Macaca mulatta: one gene and its partner. The protein of the gene in region 1 interacts with the protein of each later gene in a pairwise test. Links are inferred from orthologs where the notes say so. Each region holds a gene or a part of one and is shown in the gene's direction. Other genes may lie near its edges.

What was found. The genes of interacting proteins can lie anywhere in the genome.
Region 2: the proteins of RGS19 (region 1) and GNAO1 interact in a two-hybrid assay, tested with the Homo sapiens proteins (2 studies listed by BioGRID). The link is inferred for Macaca mulatta from reciprocal best matches to the Homo sapiens genes RGS19 and GNAO1.

The regions. Positions count from the first base shown.
Region 1 is NC_133415.1:116,963,636-116,967,087, reverse strand, and holds the end of RGS19 (regulator of G-protein signaling 19), read left to right. Parts: coding exon 1-91; intron 92-1,950; coding exon 1,951-2,025; intron 2,026-2,112; coding exon 2,113-2,347; intron 2,348-2,446; coding exon 2,447-2,638; 3' UTR 2,639-2,840; downstream 2,841-3,452. UniProt on the Homo sapiens protein: Inhibits signal transduction by increasing the GTPase activity of G protein alpha subunits thereby driving them into their inactive GDP-bound form. Binds to G-alpha subfamily 1 members, with the order G(i)a3 > G(i)a1 > G(o)a >> G(z)a/G(i)a2.
Region 2 is NC_133425.1:51,890,623-51,894,271, forward strand, and holds part of GNAO1 (guanine nucleotide-binding protein G(o) subunit alpha), read left to right. Parts: intron 1-228; coding exon of another isoform or gene 229-242; intron 243-1,322; coding exon 1,323-1,483; intron 1,484-3,649. UniProt on the Homo sapiens protein: Guanine nucleotide-binding proteins (G proteins) function as transducers downstream of G protein-coupled receptors (GPCRs) in numerous signaling cascades.

The DNA.
Region 1 (3,452 bases):
CTTCAATGTCCAGTCATGATGCAGCCCCTCCCGCAGCCCCCAGCCGTAACCCCTGCTGCCTATGCTGGTGCTGCTGCTGTAGCTGCTCCTGGTGAGTAGGGCCTGGGGTGCCCAGCTGGAGAGGGGCTGGAGGGCCTGGGGCCAAGCAGACCCAGGAGGGGACCCAGTGGTGGCTTCTGAGGAATCCCCGCAGGTAGGGTGCTCCTGCCACCTCGCGGCGTGTCCTGTCTGGGGTCTGTTGGGCCCTGGTGATGAGTGGCCGGTGCCTTGGGCCCAGGGGACTTATGTGTGGTTCTTGTACCTGTCTTGCCAAGGGTGTGTCGGTGTGCTGTGTACACGCATGTGCCCGTTCACACGGCATGTGCTTATCCATGCTGCTGTGAGCCAGCCCAGGCTGGGCCCTGGGGGCCTGCGATGGAGTAAGACAGGCACAGGCCGGGCGCGGTGGCTCACGCCTGTAATCCCAGCACTTTGGGAGGCTGAGGCGGGCGGATCATCTGAGGTCAGGAGTTCGAAACCAGCCTGACCAACATGGAGAAACCCCGTCTCTACTAAAAATACAAAATTAGCCGGGTGTGGTGACGCATGCCTGTAATCCCAGCTACTCAGGAGGCTGAGGCAGGAGAATGGCTTGAACCTGGGAGGTGGAGGTTGCAATGAGCCGAGATCACGCCATTGCATTCCAGCCTGGGCAATAAGAGCAAAACTCTGTCTCAAAATAAAAGAAAGAAAGAGAGAGAAAGAGAGGCACAGACCCCACAGACTGTGTGGGGTGGAGGGACGTTTGAGCAGAGACTCGAATAAGGCAACTGCTGGCCCTGGGGTGATAGCCAAGAGCTTCCCGGACAGCATGCGTCGGGGGAGAAGAGCACAGGGTGGTGGGGGGGTCTTTGGGCATCCCTGTGAGGGTGGGAGTGGGGCTCCCAGATGGTAACAGATTTCCTAGGAGGGTAGGGGAGCTGGTGCATGTTTTCATGCCTTCCGACCCTGGCCGATGAGAGGACAGCGCTTCTGGACCCAACGTGGGGTCAGCTGACCCATGGGCAAGCTGGGGGTGGCCAGGGGGCAGTCGGGAAAGGGGCTGGGAGGAGCCCAGGGGCCTAGTTCCGTCAGGACGTCTGGGTGCACGATGTCTGCCAGCCGTGCCCTGGAGAAAGATCAGCCGGCTATGGATTTGGGTCCAGCATTGACAGGGTACTAGGAGCCAAGGCAAAGAAGCAGTTTCCCTTGAGAGAACCAGGGATCAGGCTCCAGGACCTAACCAGTGTGGACACATGGGTTTGGGGCTTTCAGTGGTGTCAGCTGACGAGACACACTGCTGACATGCCAGACCTGCAGCGTGTGGCCCCATCAGTGGGACAGGGACAGGCCAAGAACAGGCCGAGGAGCAGGGTGGCCATGTTCCTAGGCACACTCTCATGGGTGTCCCTGTTCCCAGGCACATGACCCTTCTGGCATCCCAGGTGTTCAGGCATCTCCCAGCTCCTTGTGGCCCCTCAGCTTGCCCCAACCCATCTCCCCTAGGGGAGCAGAGGCAGAAGGGGAGGTGGCATACCTGCTTCTCAGCCTCATGTGGGGTGGGCATGGGTGGGTGGAGGAGGTTGCCCAGTGGGCCAGGGATGGGGAGGAGCACCAGGAGCCAAAGGGTCCCTCCTGGAGGGCCAGAGACTCACGGGCACTGGGTCAAGGTGCTGGGATGGAAGAGGGCTGAGTCCGTGGGCACTGTGGCAGGGACAGTAACCTGGACTGCAGATTCCGTGGAGAATTCGGGAACGACTGACAGGGAGCATGGACACCCTTTCCCAGGAGATTGTGGGAGGAGCTAGCTGCAGGGGCTGCCCTCCTACAGTGGGTACACATGTGTGTCAGATGCCTGCCCATGTGCTGAGGGCCTGTGTGGCCATGGAGGCGTGTGTGCCCACGGCAGTGCCGCTTCCTCTCTGCCACTAGGAACCAAGAGCGGCGGCGCGCGTGGCAGGCCTCCCGGGAGAGCAAGCTGCAGCCCCTCCCCAGCTGTGAAGTATGGTGAGTCCAGCCGGCTGGTGTGTGCGTGTTGGGGGGCCCCAGGCTGGGAGACTTGAGCCTGACGTAGCCTGGCCCCAATGCCCGCAGTGCCACGCCAAGTCCTGAGGAGGTGCAGAGCTGGGCCCAGTCTTTTGACAAGCTGATGCACAGCCCGGCGGGACGCAGCGTGTTCCGGGCGTTCCTGCGGACAGAGTACAGCGAGGAGAACATGCTCTTCTGGCTGGCCTGTGAGGAGCTGAAGGCCGAGGCCAACCAGCACGTGGTGGACGAGAAGGCGAGGCTCATCTACGAGGACTACGTGTCCATCCTGTCCCCCAAGGAGGTGCGCCGGACACCACAAGGGGCAGGGGGCCGCCTGCTCCGGGCACTAGGTGGGGAAGGCACCTCCCAAGCCCCCTGACCTCAGTGCCTTGTCCTACAGGTGAGCCTGGACTCCCGTGTGCGGGAGGGCATCAACAAGAAGATGCAGGAGCCGTCCGCACACACGTTTGACGACGCACAGCTGCAGATCTACACACTCATGCACCGGGACTCCTACCCACGCTTTCTCAGCTCTCCCACCTACCGTGCCCTGCTGCTGCAGGGGCCGTCACAGTCCTCCTCCGAGGCCTAGGCCGCCCCCAGCAGCACAGACCCCACCGCCTCCTATGGCCGACTCTGGGTTGCCTTCAGGTGTTGGCTGTCGGGGCACACACCTGCGGGCCCAGCCTGGCCGGCTGGGGTCCCCAGCCGTGGAGACGGTCCTAGACCCAGTGGGGAGTGCTGTGCCTCCTGGCTCTGCCCACCCGTGGCCAAGCAGGAACTCCAGGTGCAGGGTGGGCCAGAAGCCTTCTCATCGGCCCACAGCTGGCTGGCCCAGGGCTCCTGGTGGGGGCTCTTGCATGGTGAGAGTAGGGGCCCCCCCAGGAGCCATGCTGGACCCAGGAGCCTCGTTGGGGCCTCTTCCCCAGGCAGCTGACGGGCCCCGGACAAGCCTTGGTGGGGAGCAGAACCTCTGCATCATGTAGTTCTATGACATAAGGAGACCTCCTACTTGAGCTGTCTGTACCCCAGAATCAAACCCAGAACCTCAGAACCAGATGTAGGACCTCAGAATCCTGCACTCAAGGTGGCAGGACCCAATTTCTGTTTTATATGTTCATGAACTTTAAACCTGGAAACATATCCTTACTAGGTGTTTTATCAAAAAAAAAGTTTTCATATTTATCTCTATCCCTAACCCCCCAAAAATAGGATGTCTTATTATTGAAGATATTTTTAAAGCACAAGTCTCTACTCATTTTTGTCCAAGTGTGGGGAGAGACTGGAGAATGAGTGGCCCCAGACTCAGGGCTGGGGAGCAGTGCCCTTGTGCCAGGGCAGGGGCTCCAGTGCCCCTTGGGAGGGGAGACATAGCCTGTGTGTTCACCTTCTTCCCACACCCTGGG
Region 2 (3,649 bases), on another chromosome or scaffold:
ATGAGGACCAGCAGGAAAATGGCCTCTCAAGGAGCTGGCACAGTGCCACTCCTGCACCATTCTGTGGACCGTGGCAAGTCCTGTGCCATACTCAACATCAAGCAGACAGGAAATGTACAGTGCCTTTAGCAGGAGGAGCTGAAGAGGCACAGGACAACGGGTGTGGGCAGAGGAGGGGTGAAAGGCCCAATGACACAGCTCCTGCCACTCGCTCTTGAGGTGGGGGAGGTTCTGAGGACGGAGTGTGTCCACCAAATCCTTTGTACACTAAGTACTACTCCCGTGTGCAAGGTGGCAGTGACAGTGCCGTCCTGGGATGTCTCCAGGAGCCTTCTTGTCTTCAAAGACACCACACGCCTGATTGTGATGTTACATGCATGTGATTGTAGTCTTTGAAAACAGGTGACCCTACTTTGATATTCAGGATGAGGGGAAGGGGAAGAATCCTGTTAATTATGCAGTACTTTTTCTGTAATTTCAAGAAGGCTCAGCCTACACTTGTGCACCTTAAGCAAATTCAGCTACACCCACTCAGACAAGGAGGAAGGGAGGAGGCAGAGGAGGAGAGCGCTCCAAGCTCATTACCTGTCCTTTCCCATTCCCATGTTTCACCTGACCTAGGGGCTTCCCCTGCCCCCAGAGAAAGGTAGGCCCCAGGTCACAAACAAATCAAGAAAAATTAATAAAATGGCCTTTGACTTTGAGCAATCCAAGGACCAAAGTTCTTGAGATTTAATGTTGGCATGAGATATTTTTGCCATCTGCACTCACTTGGCAACCAGCCCCTCCCCTCCCCCAGTCCTGAGGCACAGCCCCCCCTGTGGCCCATCCCTCAGCGAACCAGAATTCTCCACCGAAACACCTGCTCCTCCACATAGCCCAGTTCTAAGGACTCCATTCCAGCCTGCGTAAGAAGTGTAGAAAATTACAACTCAGCAAAGAACATTGATTTTTTTTTCTCCCCCAAACAAAATAACTGTGTTTTCAGGATGAAAGCAGAGCTGCTGGTTGAGTTGGAGGGTGGAGAACAGAGCCCAGCCCACTCTCCCTTCCTGCCCCGGAAAACTCTGGGGCCCCATGGGCTGTGGCTTGGAGCTCTTGCTTTAGGATGTCCATGTGGTAGAAGGCCCCACAGGCCCCATGAACCCCGACTGTGCATGCTCAGGTCGTGGCCCTGCCCAGAGCAGGCTGTGAGCTGAGCCGTGGTCCTGCCACCCTGGCTGGGCCCTCATCACAGTCCCAGCCAGGGGAGAGCCCTTGGCTGGCAGGGGTCTTCTGTCCCCACCGAAGTCTCAAAGCCCACCATCCACCTCTCCTTACAGGCTGACGCCAAGATGGTGTGCGACGTGGTGAGTCGGATGGAAGACACCGAGCCCTTCTCTGCAGAGCTGCTTTCTGCCATGATGCGGCTCTGGGGCGACTCAGGAATCCAAGAGTGCTTCAACCGGTCCCGGGAGTATCAGCTCAACGACTCTGCCAAATAGTGAGTGTCCCGGCGGGCGCACAGTCTGGAGCCGGGCAGTGATGCGGGAGTGGAAGGGGACTGGCGATGGGGATTGGCAGAGCAAGGATTCTCGTCTGAGGTCATGCCTGCCGGGAGATGTTCTACTACAGGTGGGGGGTGTCAGGAAGGAATGAGAAGGGGCCTCTCTTCCTGCCCCCCCTAGGAGAAGGAAGAGGCCAGAGAAGGCAGAGGACACAAGAGACAACCACACAGTGGAAATTCCCAGAGGGCGGGACCTTGTCACTGGCCTGTCCCAAGGAGTGCCTGGCATTGCAAAAAGACGGCTTTCAAGTGTAGCAGCTTTGGTTTTTCATGGGGAGCCCCTGACCCCAGAAATACAAACCAAACCAACAGCCATACAGGGAGAAAATAAATGGTGCCATTTTGTTTTATTTTAGAGAAAATAATAAGTTTTCCATTCCCTTATCTTCAAAATTAAAAATAAGGGCCAGGCGCGGTGGCTCAAGCCTGTAATCCCAGCACTTTGGGAGGCCAAGACAGGTGGATCACGAGGTCAGGAGATAGAAACCATCCTGGCTAACACGGTGAAACCCTGTCTCTACTAAAAATACAAAAAACTAGCCGGGCGAGGTGGCAGGCGCCTGTAGTCCCAGCTACTCGGGAGGCTGAGGCAGGAGAATGGCGTAAACCCGGGAGGCAGAGCTTGCAGTGAGCTGAGATCTGGCCACTTCACTCCAGCCTGGGCGACAGAGTGAGACTCCGTCTCAGATAAATAAATAAATAAATAAATAAATAAATAAGGAATATGTAGGTCTAATTAATATAATAAATGTATACTTTAATACTCTGTTATAACTAAATAAGGGAGATGACAGGAGGGCAGGAGGATGGAAGGAGGAAAGGAAGGGGACAGAGGGAGAAAGAAGAGGAGAGAAGAGAAGATGGAGAAGTGGGAAATGGTAAAAGCCGGAGCTGGTTAGAAGGTGCTCCCGGCTCTTCCCATGACCGCAGGTCACAGGTCCATTGGCTGCAGCTTTATCACTCTAGGCATCTCCAAGGAAATCCTCACTGCTTCCGTGCCCTTGGCCCTAGATTGGAGGCTCCAGAGCCCGGGGATGGTCAGTGTCGGTCAGGGACATGTCTTCTGTCATGGAGACACTGGGATTGCCCCCTTGGCTTTTGGGAAACACACCCCACTTTTGCAATTGCAATCTGGGACCCATACATTCAGTGGGGACTTTCTGCAAGGAGCCTCTGCGCTTTACCCCACTGGCTGGGAAGACTCTGACATGATCCAGTCCAGCCATTTTCACCAGGTCTTCTCAGCTGGGGCCAATTTGCCTCCAGGGGACATTCAGCAACATCTGGGGACATTTTTGATGGCTGCAGCTAGAGTGGTTCTCCCGGCAGCTAAAGTGGTGCTCCCGGCAGCTAGAGTGGTGCTCCCAGCATCTAGCAGGTAGAGGCCAGAGATGCAGTTAAACATCCCACAGTGTGCAGGATGGCCCCCACAACAAAGAGTTGCATGGCCCCAGACATCCATAGTGCCAAGATTAAGAAACCCGGATCTACGCAGTGCCAACAGACAATGGCTGAGGCCAATGTTCACTCCTGGACATTTCCACAGGCCACATGGCAGCCAACAGACTAGGGGCTTGAGCAAGACCAGGAGCAGCTTCCCATTTCTGCACACCTAGATTGACCACAGGGCAAATGCCAAAGTCCTGTGAGTTCCAGGTGATGACTACCTAGGTCCCTGGGCCTGATAAGCTCCCAGGGACACCCTGGGGGTCAGGGCAGTGAGCCCAGAAGCTCAGTGTCCACCATTCCGTATGCTCAAATCACAGACCAGAGCCAGGCAGGAGAGAGTGACTTTCAGCTGCCCTCCTCCCTTCTCCCACTCCTTGTCCCTGCCCTGCCTCCTCCCCAAGAGTCAGCAAGACCCTCAGGGGCCTTTAGGGCCAGCTGGCCCAAATCTGCCTTCTAGTGGCTCACCAAATCCTGCTCTCCACTTACATTTTTACTCATTTCACTAATTATAACATGAATCCATTACAAAAAAAAAAAAAATTTAAACAAATGCAGAGGCATATAAAATGAGAAGCAATCTTCTTCCTACTCCCCTCACCAGCCCTGCCCCTCCCACTTTTACCCACTTCCATTTATTTGTCCCAGTGGCATCCA